2 linked regions of the Mytilus edulis genome follow. The protein of the gene in region 2 purifies or fractionates together with the protein of the main gene of each other region. This does not show direct contact. Links are inferred from orthologs where the notes say so. Each region holds a gene or a part of one and is shown on either strand. Other genes may lie near its edges.

Region 1 (12,673 bases), on a different chromosome or scaffold from region 2:
TTGGCAACAAACGTCTCGCAGTAAATGATTAATTATAAAAACTGTTTCAGAAAAAAACTGTTATTTTTTGGTCTGAATAGAACTTATCCCCTAGTTAGTAAAATTGTATAAGATATCTTGAAAAAAAATCACAAGTGTTATTTGTGGTATGTCTAAAAAGTAACGAGTTTCCTTTTTTAGATACAAATTTTCCCATGAAGTCAATGTCTCTCTTGACTTAACGTATGAAAATGAAACAAGATCAGATAACTCTGATAATCATTTAGACTTTCCCATAAAATTGACCAATCGGAAACCAAGATATATAAAGAGACATGACACGTTTATTGCCAATTCTTCAGCGGTTGGCAAAATTATTACGATTGACATACTTTGGTAGGATTGCTTTAGGATGATTTCGACAACAAATGTAAGCATGTTATACATCACTGTAAAGATAATTCAATTTAGATCTACAATATAACAAGTTTTAATAGGTTTGACAGACTAGAAAGCGGCATATAACAGAATTTCGTCACCGCCTGACATTTTTCTAAAATACAAGTTAAGTACCTTGTGTTACATGTATATAAAGGTATATAGGGGAAAAATATTCTGAGACGAGTGCCTGTGCTTTTTACCTATACTATTAAAATCTGTGGTTAACTAAGCCCTCACAGGTATGGAATTATTTTATTATGGATGCGTACCCATTGTTGAACACTGTATGATGACCAGCAGATCCTTACCTTTTGTTGACTTGTGTTTAATAGTTGTCACCTTGCTCTCAGTGTCATATAATAATGTGTCCTTATGTATACTTATTATAAAATGACTGTTGTGAAATGTTGCATCTTAAAACAACTTGACAATGTTGTTCATAAAGACTACAAACTTTAACCATGGTTTGATTTTATATCATGTTTGAAACTGTTTATTTTACCCACCATAGCTGAACAACTCTAAATGGACATTCTTCAATACTTGTATACACATTCTGTACATAAGGAAGGACCTGTTGCCAATGATTTAGCTCTGCATATGCCTGTATGCCAACAATACATAGTGCTTCTACAATATCTGGACTTCTGAAAAGTATTATAATCAGTTAATTAATATTTCATGCTAGGATATTTGCTCACCTTTCTTTATCAATGTACTGAAGGAATTTCGAATGTTTTGTTACCCTTAAAAGAATGTCATGAACATTTTTTTTTAACATTGGAAATTACCCTAGAACCTTTTGAAATTATCTGAATCAATATATATGTACTTTGTAACCATATATACATGTACAACAATACAGTATTTAACCAGATGCTCTGCAGGGCATAGCTTTATACGACCGCAGAGGTTGAACCCTGAACAGTTGGGGCAAGTATGGACATACATGTAACATTCAAGCTGGATTCAGCTCTAAATTTGGATTGTGATTAAATAGTTGACACAGCATAGGTGTCTGACACAGAATGAATGTGTTCTAATGAACTTAAAATTTTTGTTTTCTCTTAGAGCAATTCACTATGCTGTTGAATATTAATCCTCTCAAAAAAATGTTTGAAGAAATTTTCTTTTTTATTTATGAAATTTCAAATGAGAAAAATTGAACCCAATTTTTTTAATCACATCCCCCTTTCCCTTATTCCAAAACTAATCTCAATTAAAATTTCTAATGGAGTTTGCAACAATAACTACTCATTTAAATACATCATAAAATATTAAGATGTAAAAAAACTGCTTGTTATCACTGAATGGTAAAGATTATTTTAATTTATCAGTTGGTAGTAAAAAGTGAATGTATATTGTATATAACAAAGATTTAAGTTGATTCTGGACAAAGAAAGATAACTCCAATTAAAAAAAAATCTTGCTATTGCACAATATTTTGCAATTAGATATTTCTTGCTTACTATTCTGGACAAAGAAAGATAACTCTAATTAAAAAAAAATTTGCTATTTCACAATATTGTGCAATTAGATATTTCTTGCCATTGCGCAATACTGTGCAATTGAAAAGACTTGCTATTGCACAATACTTAATATAATAATTTTAGATCCTGATTTGGACCAACTTGAAAACTGGGCCCATAATAAAAAATCTTAGTACATTTTTGGATTCAGCATATCAAAGAACCCCAAGATTTCAATTTTTGTTAAAATCAGACTAAGTTTAATTTTGGACCCTTTGGACTTTAGTGTAGACCAATTTGAAAACAGGACCAAAAATGAAGAATCTACATACACAGTTAGATTTGGTATATCAAAGAACCCCATTTATTCAATTTTTGATGAAATCAAACAAAGTTTAATTTTGGACCCCGATTTGGACCAACTTGAAAACTGGGCCAATAATCAAGAATCTAAGTACATTTTTAGATTCAGCATATCAAAGAACCTAACTGATTCATTTTTTGTCAAAATCAAACTAAGTTTAATTTTGGACCCTTTGGACCTTAATGTAGACCAATTTGAAAACGGGACCAAAAGTTAAGAATCTACATTCACAGTCATTACAGTTAGATTCGGCATATCAAAGAACCCCAATTATTCAATTTTGATGAAATCAAACAAAGTTTAATTTTGGACCCTTTGGGCCCCTTATTCTGTTGGGACCAAAACTCCCAAAATCAATACCAACCTTCCTTTTATGGTCATAAACCTTGTGTTTAAATTTCATAGATTTCTATTTACTTATACATGTACTAACGTTATGGTGCGAAAACCAAGAAAAATGCTTATTTGGGTCCCTTTTTGGCCCCTAATTCCTAAACTGTTGGGACCTAAACTCCCAAAATCAATACCAACCTTCCTTTTGTAGTCATTAACATTGTGTTTAAATTTCATTGATTTCTATTTACTTAAACTAAAGTTATTGTGCGAAAACCAAGAATAATGCTTATTTGGGCCCTTTTTTGGCCCCTAATTCCTAAACTGTTGAAACTAAAACTACCAAAATCAATCCCAACCGTTCTTTTGTGGTCATAAACCTTGTGTCAAAATTTCATAGATTTCTATTAACTTAAACTAAAGTTATAGTGCGAAAACCAAGAAAATGCTTATTTGGGCCCTTTTTGGCCCCTAATTCCTAAAATGTTGGGACCAAAACTCCCAAAATCAATATCAACCTTCCTTTTGTGGTCATAAACCTTGTGTTAAAATTTCATAGATTTCCATTCACTTTTACTAAAGTTAGAGTGCGAAAACTAAAAGTATTCGGACGACGACGTTGACGACGCCAACGTGATAGCAATATACGACGAAAAATTTTTCAAATTTTGCGGTCGTATAAAAATGAATCTTTTAAAAACTAGTATTTTTTGTTTTTGCAGTACTGTTTTTACACCAACAATGTACGTAATCTAAGTAATAGTTATCCCATGAGGATGCAGTGTGTCTGTATAAGATCACCTTGATTGTCAAAGTTGATCTTTTAATAACAGAAAAACCAACTCTGAGTGGGATAACTATTTTAAATCCCAGGATCCCAGCTCCTCTAGAAAATATAAAAAAAAAAATTTCATTAAACTCCATAACATCTAGTTCAAAAGTCATAAAATAATTATTATATACTTTATATATTCAGGGATCTCCATGGATGAAAATTGAACAATGGAGGAACTTTCACCATCACAAACCATGTCTACGCTGTACAGTGTAGCGCAATTGAAAGTATTTCATCCCTCCAAATAAGGATTGGTGAACATGCTAATTCATTGCTTATTTAAATTATATTTATTTGAATTTTCATTATACATTTGTTATAAATAAAAGTATAAATACTTTCAATAATTGCAATCCGAGAATGACAAAAAGCTGTCATGAAGGTCCCCATGTATTTTTCTTGCTATTTTTGATAATTGTTATGGGGTTTAAAATCAGGTGGAGCTTATTTTTCACAGACACTGTCAAATTCAGAAGTCATGAACCCATTACCGGTATGGCTGATTTGCAGCAACATTGACAAAATCATTGGTACGGGTTATGTAAAAGGTTAAAGAGATTTGTAAAGCAAACGTTGACAAATGAAAAGGTTTTTAATGACTTTATCTAGCAAATTGATGCTATGCATCTTTCAAGTCTGAATAGAAACCGGAAATGCAGATGTATCAATTAGATTGTAAACCAAGAAATGAATTCGGAATTACAATACAATATTTCTGTACAGGAAATATTAAGTTTTAACTTTTTAACTTTTAAAGTAATTCTATATTATTGTTACAATACAGCAGTACTCGAGTTTTTTGCGATGAAATAATAATTACTGTTTTACATCTTTTTTTCTTAACATCTTTAAAAAGGGGGATGCAGATTGCATAAGTCAAAATAAAAGCATGTGTTCGACTCTCAGAGGTTCGACTTGTTAAAACTATTTTCTTTGTAACTGGATTATTAATTCATTTATTTAATCTAAATTATCATAAGCATTTGCAGAAACTTAGTTGAATAATTCGACAAATGAATCCTCTATCTTCAGATAGTATTCTCCTGTCTGGTTTGTTGATCTACCTGTACAAGCTCAGGTACAAGTGATTAGCAATCTTAATCCGGATATCCCTCAGGCGTTAGAACTGTATTGGATTATAATATAAAAAAAAGCCTGAGGGTTATGCAATTACATGCAAATGACATGCATTTTTTTTTTAAATAATGGCGTCAGGCTATAACATGTATAAAAACGGTTACAGTTTTGCACGATGGTGGAAGACAATTTAACGATGGTGCAGGTCATTTGACAATGGCGCAAGACATTTGAACGATGGCAGGACGCCATAGTTAAACAGGCCATGGAGATCCCTGATAATAATAAATAGTATATACCCTTCATGAACACTGGATACAATGTTTTCAGAATAAACATTTCAAATTGACATACAGTTTGTATCCAATAGTCCTGGTGTAGGGGTATATATGAATCTTGGCTTCATATGCTGAAGGTCTTGAGTTTGATTCCCAGCATAGACTCAGTTCATTCCTGGTAGGGCAAAATAGTTGGGATGTAATGAACTTATCTAGACTCATAAAACCTATGCATGAGCTTCATTTGAACCTTGTTGAAAAACATTCACAGTTTTCGGTAGGGTAAGAATGTGTTTTGGGAGTGAACAGACCCCTGATACATGTAATACCAACAATATATAACCAGGTTAGGGGGATGGTTGGAATCCCGCTCACATGTTTAACCCCACCACATTATTTATGTATGTGCCTGTCCCAAGTCAGGATACCTGTAATTCAGTGGTTGTCGTTTGTTTATGTGTTATAAATTTGTTTTTAGTTCATTTTTTTTATAAATAAGGCCATTAATTTTCTCGTTTGAATTATTTTACATTGTCATATCGGGGCCTTTAAAGTTTATAGACGACTGTGTGGTATGGGCTTCGCTCAATGTTGAAGGCCGTACGATGACCTATAGTTGTTAATGTCTGTGTCATTTGGTGTCTTGTGGACAGTTGTCTCATTGGAAATCATACCACATCTTCTTTTTTATATATATAGAGGGATAATCAGATAATATTCTATGTATCTTTTGAGATTTAGGGTTTTGATATTAAGAACTTGTTTAAATGTTGGTTATAAATCATTTGTTTCAGAGCAATTATCTGATTAGAAAATTGCGCTGACACAGTCGGGGCAAATAATATGGACGAACATTGTAAACTGTTTTACTTGTAAATACAAAAATGTAAATTGATAAACATATTAATACCCATTATATTCTAATTTAGCTTTAACTATTCCTTTTTCGCATGTTTTGATGCAATCATCAAAGTGTTTGAAAAGCAATTGTTCTCTAGCAAGATCCAAACAGTGTTTTGCTGATTCAATATTTGTATGAATCGTTGAATGATCAGTTTTTCTAGGACCAATTTCTTTGGAAGCCATTTTACAGTCATGTGACCTGCATAGGAAAACTTTCTATATAGTGTTGATTTATATGTTTCAAGGCAACATCAACAGTGAACGATTTTTTGTCATTTTTATTTTGTATACAACTTGGACCTCTACTAAGGGGACGACCATTTGATATTCTTGGGGGGGGGGGAGGATTTTGAAAATAAATAACTCAGCCTTGATAATCACAAAAATAAATGGTTTGTTCTGTGGTAGTTTGAAAATAAATTAGGCTGACTTACAATGTATAGAAAATAAATAACTCAGCAGGTCTAATCGAAAGTTTGAGATGGCACCAGATTCTTCATAAATTCATCTTTTCGCCCCGAAAAAATCGGGAAACACTTCCCAATAGTTTTAATAACAATAGTATAAATATTATTTAAATATACTTGAAGTGTCTGAAAATTGGTTTCATTTAACTTGAGGTATATTGTCTCAGGAAACCTTACCTCGCTTTTATTTTAACAGGTCCGTAACTACATGTAGGAAATTTCAAAACCAAACGCTTGTCTCCATAGCAAATTGTGTTCACAGCCTTGCAAGAAGAAAGTTCTGTTTTCCATCAGACTTATAGCCCTGATTTTTCGGGATCAATGTTTCTTATTTATTTGTCTTTTGTTCATTGATTGCCCTTCTGTATTCTGTTAGTGTTGCATTCCTTTTGTAATCTAGTAATTTTGTTATGAACTTGATCATGAGTTAAACAAAAAAAAAAACAGTAGCCACAGACTTAACTATGTGAATTCCATTTTTTCTTTATCATGCACATTGCCGGTCTTTTGTGGTGTCCCTAGAAACTTCAGTCTTACACTGAATTTATACATTTTTCTTTGAGACCAAAATATTGTCAAAAAATTATTCAAACAAAACTTCCTTTTCAGATTATGAAAGGGTCTTCGGAACGGTATTCGGAACGGTATTCGGAACACCAAGAAAGCATCATTTTGCATCATTAGTTCTATAGCTTCTTGGGCCTTCAGTGGCTCCAAAACCCTTCAAAAAATTGTTTGCCTCGCTCCGCTCGGCGTAGTATGTTTGCCAATACATTTAAAAGGTACCTAGTCATAACTAAACTTTAATACTATGTATGTTTGCAATACATGTATATGCAGTTGGGAATTTAAAAGATTCATTCCTGCAGAGGGGGATGGATAATCTAATTAAATGGTACATAATGACTTTACTATACTATATGTATTATTTATAATAAACAAATCATTTAAAAATTGTATGTTTTCGAATATCAAAAATATGGTTGTGAAAATGAATAATCAGTCTCTTGCTTTAATGAAAATGAAAAATCTTGCTTCAATAGTGCAGAAAATGAATACGCTGTCCTCTTAGTTTACAAAAATAAATAACCGATCAAAAACAAATCCTCCTGCCCCCTCCCCCCAAGGATATTAAACGGTCGTCCCCTTACCACGGCTTTTAATTTCAATATGATCATGTAAATACAATGATCTTATTCAGTGAAATTTAAAGCTATGGTAACTCTATATTGAAATAGTTTTATATATGATAGTGTATTAATTTGTTAAGAATAGTATTACAACATGATTTTTCCTGATTATTTGTATATATTAAATTTTGAATATGTTAAAGCTCATACTGACACAGACTTAGGGTAAATGTACGACGAACTATGGCCCTCTTTCGCTCAGGCTCTCTTCCGCTCGCAATTGAAGTAGGGAGATACTCCAGGCCGCCTATGCCTACAGAAGAACGATTATGTGTATTGATTGATTGTAGAGCCATTGAAGATGAAAAACATTTCCTACTGGAATGTCCTTTGTAAAGTGATCTAAGATACGACTTATTTTACGAATGTTCTAAGCACATAACGAATTTTGTCAATATAAATATTAATGACAAATTTCTAAGTATTATGAATGGCACTGAAATCCAGCATTATTTTTGTAAAAGTCTACACAAATTTTTTATCCGCAGAAAATTATTTTTGTAATGATTCAACTTCTTTTCCCTTTTTATGCCTAATTTAGACAAATAAAAGGGGTTTATATTTTTAAAAGTTTATATTCTATAAATAGTTAAATTTTTATTTTATTTATTAGACAATGTGATTTATAAACTGATATTCAATTATGAATGGAATTGAGAATTTTTATCATTTTTTTGTGAAATGAGTATATGTTTTATATAACTAATTATTAGAGATTCAAGCTCAGGATTATTTATTTGTGGAAAAGACGCATATTAATTTTAATATTTTATTTTTACGCTATTTTAATCTGTAAATATGTATTTGGTATAACATAGTGTCTCGTAAGTCAGTTTTTGGCTGGATATTGGTTGTTTTATAATGTATGTATATCGTGTATGAATTATTTTTATTGCAATCAATATGTGACACTTTAATAAACAAATTATTTATTTATTATTTATTTATTGTAATTGTAATCGTTAATCAGATGTAATTGATTACAATTTTTCAAGTAATCAGTGTAATCATTAATCAGACAAAAATCTGATTACATGTAATTTAATTTAATCAATTACTTTTTAAAATACCCTGTAATCTTGATTACTTTTTTATTACATTCTGATTACAATGAAAACAAACCTAAAATTGTGTTTTTGGTCATTAAATGAGCCTCTTTGTTATTCATATTTGATACTAAAACATACTAAAATGGTTTGTTTACTTTAAGCATGTATACTTCAGTAAAAAATAAACTGTTACAGTATTGAAAAGTCATCATTAGCCTAAGCAGAGACATATGATACAATTGTATACCTTTTATCTTGATAAAAGATATTGTACATACATGTATATTCATCGTTTTATAATGATCTTCATATTAATATTTGATAATAACTGTTATATATTCAAGTAATACTGAATTATAGTCTTTTGTTAATTTTTCGGATTTTTGTCAACTTTGAATTGAAATGACTAATTAAGGTTTGTTTTTATTGCAATAACCAATTGAGTATAGCTGTAGGGAAATATATATGACAAAATATAAATTAAGGACTTCGAAACTGAGCTTGTCTATACTAAGAAAAAGACACCGAGAGAGAACGTGTAGTTTTATGAATAACATTATAATACAAAGCCCGCAGACAAAAGGAAATATTAAAGTAAGGCAACTAGACAAGCCAGAATCCGTTGTTCATCTCGACTGGCCTCAAATATAAGCTTTTGTTAAACATCTTTTCTGTTATCGAACTTCTTTTTTACTTTTCTAACTCATGGATACATTTTCAAAGAATGCTTATTTTGTTCATAATAAAGATGATTAAACAATCCAGATTTGTTCTTCACAAATCGAAACAAGCTTAGATAAACTTGAAGTGATGGTATTATTGGATTCCATTTCTAACAACAATATAATGAGCACAAGAGCTATAATATATAGTTTGCCTTTTTTAGCCGACTACGAAAAGTATACGGTTTCAAATCCTTGACTGTTTAATGTTCAGTTCCGATGATAAAAAAGTCGTTTTGTCAATGTATCATTGCAGAATAAAATGTTTTTGATTGTGTTGTCTGTATTGGAGAAATTTCAAAGAAAGTGTGTCCATCAACATCTACAGGACTTGACTGTGGTAAATCAAGTTAAGATTATGGTTTAATTTTCAAAAGTGAAAAGCACACATGTCCTCATACTGTCCTTTTAACACGACGGGAACCACATGTGGAGTAGGATCTTCTTACTCTTCCGGAGCACCTGAGATCACCCAAGTTTTTGGTGGGGTTCGTGTTGCTTAGTCTTTAGTTTTCTATGTTGTGTTCTTCTGTACTTTTATTTGTCTGTTCGTCTTTTTATCTTTAGCCATGGCGTTGTCAGTTTATTTTCAATTTATCAGTTTGACTGTCCCTCTTGTACCTTTTGTCCCTCTTGTACCCTTTGTCCCTCTTGTACCTTTTATCACTCTTGTACCTTTTGTCCCTCTTGTACCTTTTGTCCCTCTTCTATTGCATGTAATCCGCCTCATATGAAGAAAAGAACTTAATAGACAAGAAGAGGAGCACAGTAATTTTTCATTGTTTGTTAAAAAAAACACGTTATCCAAACGAAACAGATATTTTGTCAAACAAAAAAATCACGCATCCGTGACCTTAATACTGTCAATTTCACAGAAGGTTTTATTCAAATTAAAGTGACATTTTTTTTAAAACATTTCAAATCTACTTCTCAAAACAAAGGAGTAGGTTCAGTAAAACCCCTTTTTGGCCCCAAAATATGGCAGTTTTAGAAAATTGTGAAAATGTAATCGTTATGATATTTATTGAAAAGTAGAATGCTTCTGCTATATAAATATGGGCTGTTTTTGACAATACAATGCACATATATCGGGTACTAGCATCATTAAGTCATGCTAAATTACTGAAATCTTCACAATTTTAGCATTTTAGTTAAATTGTAGACGGTTTCCGGCTTAAATGAAAGTGGCCGCATTCGTGTTCATTCATAATTTTGAAATGTAAGTTGTATTTGATGATAATACATAATATATATAAAGAGAGTGAGGATGAACACGGATGCGGCCAGTTTCATTTTTGACAAGAAGCATCTGAAAAGTGACGATTTTTGGCATATTTGATAGATTTTTCATATTTAAGCTTGAATCGGAGTGTTTTGAATGACTTAATCAGTTAAAATCTTTCACATAAACTAATTGAATCAATTGAAACAGACACTTAAGTGTTTAAAAAGTGTCTAAAATCTTTCTTTAGATGAATTTTTAAATTGAGGCCGAAATCGGCCATTACCGGACCTACTCCTTTAGTTTTGACCAGAGGTAACTTATTATAAAGACAATTCTACAAATTGACATTTACAAGTTGGACCCATTATAAGCCCTATACGGAATTATCTATTTTGTATACCTCATCTTTGTAAAAGAGATCGGACACCAAGCTTGATAGGTGAAATATTTGGAAATGAGAAAACATCCAGGTAAACAGCAAAAAAATAAGCCAAATAAACAAGCATTCGAAAATTTGGATTTCAACCAAAGAGACAAATTTCTGTACAATATGTAAGGCTCGTTAGTACCCGAGTCTAAGATGTTCCTTTTTTCAGTGAACAAAAATGACATGTTAAAGATGGAGGGATATTTTTTTTTTATTTCTTTGAAGTTTCTAGTAATGTAATATAAAAATATATGAATATACCAAGACTTGGACAAAGATCTTTCAGGTCGATACATCCATCGATGAGAGCGCTTAATATTATGGTTATCAGTTTGCATCACGTATACGACAATTATTTAATACATAAAGCGTGACATCGTACCAGTTGTCGCGTATCAAGTTGAATACACGTAAGACAACCAAGGCAACAAATATGTCAAATAAACTGCTACATGTATTACTATTCATATACACTTCCGTTCTTTAATGAACTGTTACACAATTATATTAAGGTGTTTGCAAATTGATGTCCTTGTACAGATTTTGTCAGAAATACTGTTGATGTACATGTCTTTTATAACTTCCACTATTTCAGGTAAGTTTATATTTAATTAGACAAGTTCGATTCAGCTTTTCCTGGAGCTGAAAGCTTTATACTTATATGGAATAAGGATTAAAAAATGAAATTTAAAATTCAATCACTGATCAATAGTTGCAATTATTTCCTTAAAGTCATAAGAAACCTCAAATTAAAAAAAAATAATGCATATGTTTTTTATAACTCAATGGATAGTTTACATTATAAAACTTATGTACATATAATTTTTTCTGAAGAAAATTCTTTAATTTATTCATATTTAGAAGAAGTTTACTTTATTTTAGTTGCTTCCTTCCAGAAAGCAATTCCCCCGACATATTTTCCGTATTCAAAGTGACCTCAGTGTGACCCATCTCGTAAAAATCCGGTGATCGCAACACGCATGGATGTCCTTAAAAGAACTATTATCTGAATTTACATGTTTTAAAAACACGTGCTCAATTTTTCATACTTTGTTGTTTTGTTGTTGAATGTTGACAAACAGGTGACAATCGTAAAACTTCAGCTTCAAAACACGAACTTTAATTACCTGTTATATTTTCACAACACTGACCGATTGAGAAAAAAAAATTGACGATTATACGAAATTTATGCGAAAAAAAAAGAGAAATTCTTGAACAGAAGACTAAGTTTATGATGTTTGTATGCATTGGTTCAAGAATTGGAAGAACATTATTTTTCACCGTCCACTCGTTTCTTATGACGTACTTTAATGTTTTTAAAAACCTAAATGCATAATAATCATGATGCACTATCTGAAAGATAAGATTAATTCAACGTTTGGATTTTGCCAGATTTTCATGTAAATGCTTTTATAAATAGCTTAATTTTACGTTGATTTAGTTAAACTATTCATTCACATAATAACCGTCTGGGTGGTATTGTGTTAGTGTGAACTTTTTTGTTACGAAACAGAAGAGATATGATGTAACTATGTCATGATGAAAATTCCTATAATACGCTTGGCTACCCAAAGTAAAGAAACAACTCTTGTTATCACCCAAAAGTCTAACCGTAGACTTGAAAACTGCGATTAGTCGTTTCCGCATATCCATTCACGGCATGTGACATATAGCAGTAAGAGTAACGAATAAAGAAAGATGTAAGCCTATATAAATTGTCCTGATATGTTATAGGTTATATAGATATAAGAAGATGTGGTATGAAGGCAAATGAGACAACTCTCCACCCAAGTCACAATTTCTAAACGTAAACCATTATAGGTCATGCAAAATTCGATCTTCAACACGGAGACTTGGCTCACAACGAACAGCAAGCTATAAAGGGCCTTTAACTTTGTACTTGTTTGGCTTTAT
Region 2 (13,356 bases):
AATAGCTAACGAAAAATAATGCAAACCCACAGGCATTTAACTAGTCTACTGTCTGCAAGTCTAGATGAAGCCAATAAACAGAAAATCAGAAAATTCAATAAAGATATCTAGATGAATATACAAACCAATATCTCCCAATCATCAACTGACTGTGGTTCTATAAAAACTCTCTGTGATTTTGACACTGCACTAATAGGTCTAACCAATACCTGGAAAAAAAAAGTTTTCACTTTCAATTTATTCTTACTAAATACAAAAAAAATAATGAAATTAGTGTATAATCTTGTACTGACAACATAAAGATTAAACATTAAACATAAAAACTGATTACATAAAATCATAACCATTATACTAGAAACATTTTTGTTGCATGCTATACTAGAAACATTTTTTCTGCATGATATAACTGACATATCACTGTATTTATACTTACCTCACAAACCACTTCTTAACAGAACTAACAAAACTCATTATTCAACTGCATAAAAGGTCCATAATATATGTAGGACCAACAAAAAAGTTAAACAATGGCTGTATTTTGGAAGGACAAAATGAGAGAATAGTTTAAAAATATGTGCCATAAAAAGAACTATGAGGGATGAAGAATACATCAAAATAGAAAGAATCAAATTTGGTCATCTTTGTTTCATGATAGTGAACATGGTGATTCTTGAAAAATGAATAAAATGGGAATGATCCACAAGTTATGGTATAGAAGCAAATGTAGAGAAAGAGGATGCCGTTCCTATACAATTATATGCAGGTTTGTTTACAAAGTGTGAGATTTTTTATCAACATATTTAACTACTGTGGATTCATTTTTTTTTTTATGGTTAACCAATTTTTGGATTTAGGAAAACTTGCACTTTAGTAGATGTTAATTTCATGGTTTTGCCAATGTCTGCATTAAAGCTGTTAGAAATTTTGTAATTCACTGTACACTTAAATTTTGTAGTTCGCACTCGCCTTATAATTACAGCCCCTCTGGTCATGTTAACTTATAACTGGGGATTTTAACATAATTCAACATGAAAATCTCTGAAAGGTGATTTCTCATGGTCCTAAGTTTAGAGAACCCCAACACATCAATTGGAACCATAACTTCAAAATAATTATGGATTCCATTGAGGACTACGCCAGAGCATGAGCTAAGCGAGAAGAAGTTGAACTGGACACTTTGTCAGAATGGGTAAAAACTATCAGGTCTCTGATAAAACGTCGCATTCACAAGTTGAAAAACTGTGTGAACGATCGACCAAAGTCCGTTTTCAGAGACAAAGAGGTCATGAAATGTCTATCATCTCTTCATGATAAGTATGTTGTTATTCCTGCAGACAAAGCTTCAAATAATATTGTCTTTGTATGTAAATCGTATTACTACGAATGTCTTGTAAAAGAATCGAGTATAAAGGAGCACTCAGGTAATCCCACATACAAAGACATATCATTTGACAAGGATGAGATTTTAGCAAATCATAAGTCCTTCATGGCTTCAATAAACATTACATTGAACATCAAATCGAAGGACTTACCTTGTTTGTATTGGATACCAAAGCTTCATAAAATTCCGTACAAACAACAGTATATTGCTGGCTCATCTTCATGTTCCACTAAAGAATTGTCCATTAGATTGACTAAAATTCTGTCCGCAGTGAAAGAGGGTCTTCAGTAATACTGTGAAACTGTTTACTCGCTTAGTGGTATTAACCATATGTTGATTCTTAAAAATTCTAAAGAACTTCTAGACAATTTTAAATCTCAGTCTTTTTCTGAAATTAGTTCTATCAAAACTTTTGATTTTTTAACCCTGTTTACCACCATTCCCCATGTGAAATTGAAAAATCGCCTAAAAAGAAATCATCCACAATGCCTTTCAACATAAAAATGGTAGCATACGCTATAAATTTATTACTTTGGGATTTCATAAGGCATATTTCGTTAATAGTGACAAACAAAAAGGTAAAACATGCTACACAGAAGAACAAGTGGTCAGCTTGCTGGAGTTTCTTATCGACAACATATTTGTTGAGTTTGGAGGTAGACTTTTCCAACAAATTGTCGGCATTCCTATGGGAACAAACTGTGTGCCTCTTCTTGCCGACCTCTTCTTATTTTCATATGAATCGGAGTTCCTCCAGACACTTGCCAAAAACAAGAGGATCAAAGAAGCGAGATTATTTAATTTCACTTTCAGATATATTGATGATGTTCTTTCCATAAACAATCCAAACTTTTCTGATTGGGTTCCATCAATATATCCCCCAGAACTAGAAATTAAAGAAACAACAGACACGGATTCCTCTGCTTCATTTTAAGACTTATTCAGTACCAGAATCTATGACAAACAAGACAATTTTGATTTTGAAATAATAAATTTCCCCCACCTTAGTAGCAATATACCAACTTGACCTGCATATGGGATATATATTTCCCAACTTATTAGATATTCAAGAGCTTGCAGCTCCTACTCAGACTTTGTAAAACGTCATCAGTGTCTGAGTAGAAAGTTGATGAACCAGGGGTATGTCAAAGAACGTCTCGTCCTTTTTCAAAAAAAGTTCATCGGAAGATACCAAGACCTTGTTGATAAATATTCCGTATCAACTTCACAAATAATACATGATGGTCTTAATGTATAGATTCTGAGTACTGATGTTGTTTATCATCTTAACAATGTGTTTTATTGTTCTTTCATTTGTATTTGTTCTATTAATAATATTACTTTTTCTGTTGGATTGTTTTAGGTAATATTTGACTTGGCTCGGTACTTACAAAATGTATACATCCCGTCAATGTGTTTGTATTGTCTTTCATTTTTTGGTGGTGTGTTTTGTATATGCAACTTTTTGTGTTTCTTTGGTTCATATAACGTGACTCTGTACTTTATAAGATCCCGTCAGTATGAAATGGTTCTATTTCATGTCATTATGATATATTTCTATTATGAATTACAAAATGCGTTGAACCATAAACGTCAAAATCATTCAATCGCGTAGTGGAATTAGCTATTTGTGGATTCTTATAAATTCTATATATAACTTTTGGACTATTTTAAATCTCAGTCTATTTCTGAAATTTATTCTTTCATACTTTTGATTTTTAACCCTGTATGCTAACATTGCCTATGTGAAATTTTAAAATTGTTTGTATGTACATTGAACGACAAATATATGTGACGTATAAAATTTTCTGACGTCAGACACACAAATCAATGAATGTGTTTGTAGATAGATGTTTTTGTGTTCTGTTAAATTGTTCCTTTAAAAATTGTTACAAGATGATGACTGCTGTTCCCATATTTTGACTATTTTATTTATTGTGTCTGTTTAGTTAACGCATCATTGTAAATATAACAGAATTTGATGAGACTGTAATCAAAGTGAGAGGGTTAGCGCTATAGAACCAGGTTTAATCCACCATTTTCTACATTTGAAAATGCCTGTACCAAGTCAGGAATATGACAGTTCTTGTCCATTTGTTTTTGATGGGTTTTGTATTTTAATTTTGCCATGTCATTATGGACTTTCCAAATTAATTTTCCTCTACATGTAAGTTTAGTATTTTTGTGATTTTACTTTTTGTTCCCACGAATACCACGAAAATGGGTATCCAACTAATAATAATGAATCCAGAGACAAAACAATTGTCCTAAACTCTTTCTAAGAAAATTACTTCTGGATCCTTCATTCCAAGTCTGTCAGCATATATTCCATTCACTTGAAGTTCTGCATCTCTGTATCCTGATTCTCCAGTAGCAGTAAAATAAGCATGTTCATCCCTACCAAACTGTACTTCATACACCTGTATCTACAAAATGGTATCAAAAATATATATCAATAACTAGTTTCAATAGTTTGTTCCATATATACATTTTTTTATACTTTTTCAGCATATGGTCTAGATAAGATAAACAAAAAGGGATGGAATGGCCTGTTACACAAAAGGTATCTAACATGTCCAACTATCCAATATGTCTGATGTTTGCTTCCAATAATTTAATGCATCCAATTTTCATTCCTTTAAGAAATGCATCTTGAACTTACAATAAGGTGTGTGCTTTTACTACTTGTTGAAAGCCTGGCTGTGACTTCAAAAGGAAGATCAGCAATAGACCACTTTTGCAGTTGTAAATTTTATGCATCATTTACCCGATAGTTGGGATCGCCTATAGATAATACCTACATGTATATATAGTCATTTAGCCTTCTATAGTATATAAGTATAATCACTATATACAGGTAAAAAAATGTTTTACCACCTATATGTATATATTTATTGACAGTTTGATGGCAAATATATTGATAATTTAGATATATTTACATATTTTTTTCTTTTTGGTTTATCCTCTTATTTGATATATAAAAAGAGCGATGCAAGTAATCGTAAAATATGGGCTTGATATGAAACCCTTAAAGCAACAGAAACAGGTTCAACAGTTCAATTGTAAATGTGAAAGAGTAATGATATTTAAGCACTATCCATTTCTTTTGTCATTTTGTGAAGTTTCTGAATCTTTTGAAAATCAAAAACTCCAGAAAGATAAGTTTTTTGGACAGAAAAAGTTTTGCAAATGGCGCCAGTATGTTCCTTTATTGAACTGACCCTTCCGATATTTTACTTCGTTAATTGAATTAACAATCACATTATTAGATTTGTACAGAATAATACCGGATGTTTAAAAATTCAAAAAAACAATAGCACTGCTATACACCTTATCGCTAATCCCGGCTGACCCAGCCGCTTGATCTTTTGACACATACAACAATCACTTTTCCATTGTGGCTTCAGATATTTTGTTTATGACGTCAAAATTTTACCGGAACCTGTGTGATATCCAGTAATGGCGGACAAATAGCGATAAGGTGTATTAGAAACTGCTGCGGTCTGCCCAATAGCACAGTGCTGAAATACAATGGTGCCGAATACTGCAACGCTAATATGGCCTGGGATAACACCTGTAACCTTTCAATTATCAATATTTCTGTTTCTTTTTAGAAAGATTCTGAATTTAGAGTATGAGGTCCGAGACCACAATTGTCGTCCCTTGATTTTCGTTGTCCACAAATATAGTCCCTAGTGTTGACAGTGGGTTACTTGCCATTAATTTATATACTCCTTCCAAATTTATTTCTCCATGTTTAATGCCTCAAATTGCAAAAAGGGGGGTAAAATTACACTGTAAAAAAATTTGGGTCCAGAATTTTAAAGGAAAGTAGTGATTTGGTCCAGCTGAAAAAGGTTAAAAATTAGCACTTTGGAAGCTGTCAAAAGATTTCAAGACGCCCTAAACATAAAATTGTCCATGTTTTGAGTTAGAGCTGATGAAGTTTTCTATAATTTTGATATAATTTGTCCCAAAAGTAGTACAACACACTGTAACAATTTCATTGAGAAAGCAAAGGTGGGAGTAATTTTCATTTATGTTCTAAAAGAAATGCACTAGTCACCACGAAATAATTGCGGTCTCGAACCATGAGCGTCGTGATGGGGTAATTTTGGAACGAAAAACTGAAAAATAAAATGCATGATGACGGTAAAGGAGAAAAGAAGAAGCAACATTATTTTAAACATGCATTTTAAAAGTGAAACTGAAACAGAAAGTAGAAATATTACAAAGCTTCGTCTTTTTTACCCCTTCAGCGGCTAACGATGTTTTGCACAACTCTTTTGGTAAGACAATAAAGCAGTTCTTTTCAGCTTTGTGGGACACTCTGGTCACTGTGCAGCTCATTTCAAGTAGTGTAGTTTTTCAAGATAAAAATAGCTGACCATCCTTTCACTTCCGGTCCAGTGGAGTGAATAAAAGATGGATTGATTTGTCAAAAGACCAAATGTTAAATGAAAAATAAATATCACCATGAAGTACGGATATAGAAGCAAATCATTGTTCTTCTTGTAGAGGATAATAGTTGGCTTCGGGTCGAGTAGTTTTGAGACCATAACAATATATACTATATTGAAGTAAGGAAAAGGAGAATTTTAAATGAATTTCAAACTTTGGACTTTCATTAGATAAAGCAAGCCAAAGTCACTTTAACGGTGGACAAAAAAGCTATTTCTTAAGGTAGCACAATACAAAGATTTTTTTACTTCCAATCACTAACCTTTGAAATGCTGTAACTTTCTTATAAATGCATAGAAAATGATAAAAGAGGTATATATAGATAGATAAAAGATTAATCTTTTAAATGAATGCAATATTTTTATTATGCAATCATTGTGTAATCAATTATTATGTAATTAGTGTCAAAATTTGGGTAAGCTCACTTGAATGAATTTAGCTCTATCATTTCTTTAACTATACAGAAAATTTTAACGAAATCTTAATCAACACATTGTGGGCTTCAAAAGGGTGTCTCAGATTGTTTCTGCCATTCTCTCATAAATCTCTTATTAGTGTAAACATCCTAACCAATAAAAGAAGATAATGTTTAATTATGTGTAAAATTTGTTCTATACATTCTATCTGAAATCTGAGACACCCTTTTGTAGATAATGGCCATAGGAACAACATATAATAAAATCAATCCTCTAGGGATACCTATGCAGAAGCTAATTTCATTTGAAAGTGGAAATTTGGTGAAAAATATTTTAGGCACAGTTAACATTATAATTGGTTACATAATTGTTGCATAATACTAACATTGCATTTATTTCAAAGAGTAATCTGTTAGCTATCCAAAAATACCACTTTTATAAATTTTCAAGCTTTATTAAGAAAGTTACAGCATTTTAAAACTTTGGAGTTGGAGTTATAAAATCTTTGTATTGTGCTACCTTAACATCAAAACTATTTACTTTTTTATAATTTTCTAATATAAAAAAATACAATCATATTTTTGGTGTTAAAAAAAGATTATTTTTTCATATTAGTAAGTATTTTGTTAATATTAGAAAATTAATTTTTAATATTAAAATGTGATTTTCAGTTAAATATTATAATATAAATAAATTTGGTGTATTTACTGTCTTCTGATTGGTTAAAATTTTTAGTTCTATTTTCAATGTTGTCAATTTTTATGGCGACACGCCCACTCCGCTGACGTTGTGTACTCATACGCCAACAAGTGTGTACGTTGCTATTGTTAATATAAATAATATAAAAAGTTCTTTGAGCTTTATTTTTGATAGAAATTTATTTATAATGAATGGCAATAATTTATTTTGAATTTATTGAACCATAAAATTAATTTTTGACTCTTCACATTTTACATAATCCGCTTCGCGGATTATTCAATGTGAAGAGTCAAAAATTAATTTTATGGTTCAATAAATTAAAAATTAATAATAGCCATTCATTAAATGAATTCTTAATGTTTGAAAACGATTTTCATTATAAAAAAAAGTTCTTTTGTTCACTTTGTCACTGATAAAGCAGATGTGACTTTTGAATTTCATTTCAGTGGAAGCATTTGACTCTTAGGTAGAGTAATCCAAATGCATCTTTGAAAACTGCACATGACCATGCAATATTCTCCTTCTTTTGTGCGTATCGTCCCTTATTCTTGATAGTGCAGACAATATGTCTTAATTAATTCATGTGATTTTTAAAATCTCCGCTAGATCTAGATTCCGAACCCCAACCGACCCGTGACTTTCACGCAAAACCTCAAAATAAAGTTCATTCGGAAATGACATGGTTATGTCGTTTTTTTAACCCTGCACCAACCAAATTTTCATTTGTACTTATATTTGTCCCTCCTCCACCAAACAGTCCCCAACCAGTCAAATAATCACACCTCCTGATGTAGTGATGATACTTCCAAGATATGTAAATTTTAAGACATCTTCTATTTCAGCATCTCTCTCACTTTGATTTTGATAAGTTGGTTTTAATTTCGTTTACCCTCATTGATTTTGTCTTTTTTGCATTTATGTATAGTCCTACTTGTTTTGCAGTTGTATCAAGGTTGGTTGCTTGGTTTTGTGAGTCTTCATGGCGATGGGTAAGCAGGCAGATATCGTCTGCAAAGTCAATGTCTTCTAGGCATGACTGTAATGTCCACGGAATTGTAGTTATGACATAAAGAACATATACGATATCATCTGTGAAATGGATATTCCATAACGGTCAACCAACTCGTGATGGCGTCCATAAAATTTACCAAGGAATTATTACAACTTCACCATTTGGAACTCTTGGTTTAATTGCTTCCTTGTGAGGAGCGACCCTCTTTCAATGATTTCATGATAGAAAATACAGGCCCGGGAGTATCGTATCAATTATGAGATATATACCCCGTATGCAGGCGCTGCTGGAATGTTGCTACATAGAAATGGAAAGGTTCACAATTGGGAAGCTGAAATAATCTCTTTTGTCGTAAAGTTTTGTTTTCAACCGACCCGCATTGTCAATTTCTAGATGTTAGTCAAGATATGAGGCAGACTTAACTGTATCTTGTATCCTTTATCTCTAGTTTGATGGGATAGATGCGGTCAACATAGTCATCAAATTTTGAATTATTTAGTGAGAAAACATCATCTATATAGCGGAAAGTAAAGTTATAGGATAATGCTAACTTCTTATCTTTCTTCATAAGAAATCTCTGTATGAAGTCGGCCTCATGATAATAAAGGAACAAGTCGGCAAGAAGAGGGGCACAATTGGTTCCCATTGGAATGCCGACTGTCTGTTGAAAAAAAACACGTCCTCCAAAAGTAACAAATATGTTGTAAATCAAGAAATCCAATATCTTGACAATGTCAGTTATTTCTTTAAACTTTGTAGGATGATGATGTGACATAGGACTTTGCTAGGAATTGAAAGCAACATTATACCTTTCCAGTTGCTACAGATTGATTTAGCCTTTCTTTGGTAGTTTAATAAAGATATCTTTACGCCAGTCATCAGGTATATGTTCGTCATTCCATATTCTGTTAAGTAGTTGTGAAGTTTATCAATACATAGGTAATTCATTACCTTAATAGCTTTAGGGGGTATGCTGTCAATTCCTCCTTCTTTTCCATGTTTCAGTTGTTTTATTGCAGCATTTATAAAACAATAAAGCGTTATTCAGGACCTGTCTCCCTTCTATGTTAGATGGGTCTGTTTGGCACTTTTTTAAAATGTTCTTTTCATCGTTTAACTAAGGATTTTCTAATCCCAGGAATAGATTCCCTTAGCCGTATTTAGCACAACTTTTTGGAATTTTGGGTCTTGAATGCTCGTCAACTTTGTACTTGTTTGGCTTAATAACTCTTTTTATCTAAGCGTCATTGATGAGTCTTATGTAGACAAAACGCGCGTCTGACGTATTAAATTACCGGTATAATCCTGATACCTTTGATAACTATTTACACCACTAGGTAGATGCAACTGCTGGTGGACGTGTCGTCCCCGAGGGTATCACCAGCCCAGTAGCAAGCACTTCGGTGTTGACATAAATATCAATTATTTGGTCATTTTATAAATTTCCTGATTAAAAAAGTATAAATTTTTCGAATACTTAGGACTTTCTTATCCCAGGCTTAGATTACCTTAGCCGTATTTGGCACAATTTTTAGGAATTTGGGTCATCAATGCTCTTCAACTTTGCACTTGTTATATCTGGTTTTTGGGGAGCTAAATTTTCATCTTTATTGGTCCTTCAACTATAGATGATGGTCTGATGCTGCATCTGCTCCTGGTTTTGCCCTAACATCTTGCATATTTGAGAGATGGTTATTTGGTCTATTTGGTTTCCTGCATTTCCTGCTGGTGACACCCACGTTACCTTATGGCAATTCTCGTGTTTGAAAAGTGTTCCTCCTATGACAAGGCGTCATATCATAGCACATTTCTGCACATTTTCATTTCATTTTTTCCTATTCCATGAGGACCAATGTCTCACTCCCATCCCTTTCTTTCTGATCCAACCGAAGCATTTAGGTCACCTATGATTACCAATAGGTACCTTTTTAGCACCTTTTATATATGGTTGTTCGTAATGAGTGGTAGAAATCTTCTTTTTCACTGTCTTCTGCATCATTGATTGGGACATTTACTTGTATCAGGGTGGTTTTTGGAAACGTGAGTTATATAAAGCATGTTGTGATAATTCTTGGTGATACGGGCTTCCACTCCAGAAGAGCTGTTTTAGAGTCTTTTTGTTATAAGAAATCCAACTCCCTTTCCATGTGGGTCATTCTGTTTGGTGTTTCTGTAATATATAATTGTGTGGCCTGTATTCAAATTTGTCATGCCTGATGTGTGTTCCATCTTATAAACTCATCATAGATACCTGGATTAAGTTTATATTTACGCCAGACGCGCGTTTCGTCTACAAAAGACTCATCAGTTACGCTCGAATCCAAAAAGTTAAAAAGGCATTGAGGACCAAAATTCCTTACAGCTAAGGTAGTCTATTCTTGCGGTAAAAAGCCTTAGTATTCAAAAGTTTGTAAACACAATTTATAAATATGTCAATTATAGTTCATGTCAGCAGTGAAGTATATATAATATAAATTTGTTTATTAAAGTGTTACATATTGAAGTGCTGACTACTGGGATGGTTATACCCTCGTGGAATTAAAACCCCACCATGAGTGGTATCAATTAATTGGTTGTAAATAAAGGCAACAGTCTTTTGTAGACGAAACGCGTCTGGCGTATATACTAAATTTAGTCCTGGTATCTATGATGAGTTTATATACCGCTGTTTGAAATTTATAAATCGATTGAGAAAAAAATACAAATCCGGGTTACAAGCTGTAAATAAACTCATCATAGATAAATTCGCTTAGTCCTAGAATATCAATCTTGTATCTAGCGATCTTGTTTGCTACTTATGAACATTTACCACTTTGGTATAGTATTCTTACATTACATGTGCCTATTCTGGTGATGAGTTTGTTTGAAAGCAACTTCATCGGCCTTCGCGTCAGATGCTGTTTTCGTTTAAAAACATGTTCTTCCGAAACGTGCGTCTGGTGCAAATTTCAATCCTGATATCTATAATGAGTTGATTTTCCTCCAGTCATTTGACGAGAAGAAGTTGCTTTTGTGATCGTTTCTGTATTCAAGATTTTTGTCAAAGGCAGGGTGATTTACCCTACGATTATCCACCTAGACTCGGAGGACCGGCATCTTTTCTGTAGGGGTTTACATCCCTTAGTCGATTGCTATTGCCAGCGAGATCTATCTACCCGGATCGTCTGTCTGGGTTTACTTCCATAGCCTTTGATTAAAAAATGCAATCACAAGGCAGTGATACTATGTGACTCATAGCTGGGGCAAGGATGATGAGTGCTAGGGCATGTCCACACGCCAGTTTGCCTACACACTGCATCGCGGTGGCCCTTGCTGCTCCGAGATCCTCTACAGATGACGCCTAGGGTAATATAACATAGTTGACTGTGTGCTGTCGCGAGAAATCTTTGATAGTGTAGAGGCTTTGTACTGACAGGAACTGGAGATCTACACACTCGACTTTCTTTTCACCCACACGTGAGTTAGCCAGTGGCAATGATAGTGGTATCCCCCAAACCCACACACACACACATATACACACACACACATATACACACACACACATATACACACACACACACGAGACGCATATGGAACCCATGTAACAAAACCACCAGCACACTTTGATATTAAATTTAGGGGAAATCAAATCTAATCGATAGCTATTTCTAGATACCAGGTGACCCTGCTGGTCATAACATAATAAACTCGTGATAGATACCAGGATAAAAAAAAAAGTATATATACGCAAGGCGCGCGTTTCGTCTACAAAAGACTCATCAGTGACTTACATAACATAATAATAACAAAATGTTTTTTAGGACCACTGAGACACATATACACGTGTACTAATTAGCACAATACATAACTATAACAAATGTATTAATGAAAATCAATGATTTTAGCAATTAAATATAGAACAATTTTTACATAATTATATAATTGAGAATATAATTACAATATTTTAACTTGAAATCTAAACATTTGCTAATCTTAAATAAAAACTTATCCCTTTCATTTTTTCACCACTTGAAAATGTAACAGTAAAGCAATATTCGGGAATTTTCTTACTTTTTTATTAAATGATAACAGATAACAAATATTGAATGAAATTCGTTTCCTATTGACACAAGAAGCATAGATGACACGGGTTTTCCATATCTGCAAATTCCAAACCACCGTCTCGTTTCCATTAAATGTAAAGGGTTGTAGCATCTTAGTTTAGTATTTTGTTTAACGATCTTCAAACGAGAAGATGGTCCAGGTAGTTCAAACTACTATATACTTGTCAAAACCACGGTTGTGACTTCGAACCACGCACGTTGCAGGTGCGTTCGACTCCAATCTCAAATGACTAGGATTGCCAGATTTCCCGCCGATGGTCTGTGGTTCTCTCCTGGCTTTCCGACTTCCTCTATCAATAAAAACTGACCGCCATGAAATAGACAATATTGCTGAAAGTGGCAAAAAACATCTATACAACTTGACGATGGGAATATGGTGATTTGGAAAGATGTATGTTGACCAAACCGAAAAGAAATTGTAACAAATTGCGAAGATAAAGGTTTAAAAAGGAGAGGGGGTTATACATGCCGGCGGTTGCAAATAAAACGAAGCCCAATCGTATGAAAAGACTAAAGAGAAATATGTATATATTAATTGGAGATTTATTTCATCTAAAAGAGGATCAAACAAAACATAGATAACGTTCATCGACAGGCTAGTGAGTGAACATTTAGAAACATCGGGTAACTAGATATTGATTTTGATAAGTTCAAAAGCGCAGCGTTAGCAGTAGGTTTTTAACATTCCACTCCAACAGCGGCATGCACAAAACAAAGCTAGTATCAATGTTAAGAATGAGATTAACCGGTATTTAGTGATCGGCAGTGTTTAAGCCCTACTCCATAATTTGGTGGATCAGAAATCAACAAAACCAGTGACTACGTTTATGGTTTGAACAGACGAACTCAATTTCATTAGGAACAATTGATAAGTTCAAAAAGAAGAATGAATATGTCAATGTGAATGTGTGAGGGTATGAAGACAGTTGAATAGAAATGTAAACTGAAAGTATATTCGTGGAGAAAACCAAGGAACACAATTACGAAGCATGACGGACCCATCTTTCTTACTAACACTGAAAAATCAGAATATCTGTTGGGTGTACTAACTTGTTGTCGCAGATATTGAATCTCAACTTACTTGTAAAATTGTAATAGACCACAATAATTAACTGATTAAGTCTTTTTTTTTTTTAGTATTGGAGTCAGAAGAAGCCGTTGAAACATTCAAAGAAATCTCGTGCACCATCTACGCGTACTTTGAAAGATTCATGAATAACATCGACACATGCCAATACGATCCATCAAAGGCATACACGACTTTACATACAATCGTGTTTCTGC

The links.
Region 1: the proteins of peroxisomal ATPase PEX1-like (region 2) and peroxisome assembly protein 26-like purify together in Homo sapiens (affinity purification with western blotting; 3 studies listed by BioGRID and IntAct, with this or other methods). This does not show direct contact. The link is inferred for Mytilus edulis from reciprocal best matches to the Homo sapiens genes PEX1 and PEX26.

What each region holds. Positions count from the first base shown.
Region 1 is NC_092344.1:37,970,144-37,982,816, forward strand, and holds the start of peroxisome assembly protein 26-like, read right to left. Parts: upstream 5,895-12,673; 5' UTR 5,863-5,894; coding exon 5,687-5,862; intron 1,068-5,686; coding exon 927-1,067; intron 1-926. UniProt on the Homo sapiens protein: Peroxisomal docking factor that anchors PEX1 and PEX6 to peroxisome membranes. PEX26 is therefore required for the formation of the PEX1-PEX6 AAA ATPase complex, a complex that mediates the extraction of the PEX5 receptor from peroxisomal membrane.
Region 2 is NC_092346.1:52,569,933-52,583,288, reverse strand, and holds the start of peroxisomal ATPase PEX1-like, read right to left. Parts: upstream 5,809-13,356; 5' UTR 5,732-5,808; coding exon 5,633-5,731; intron 3,808-5,632; coding exon 3,673-3,807; intron 210-3,672; coding exon 126-209; intron 1-125. UniProt on the Homo sapiens protein: Component of the PEX1-PEX6 AAA ATPase complex, a protein dislocase complex that mediates the ATP-dependent extraction of the PEX5 receptor from peroxisomal membranes, an essential step for PEX5 recycling.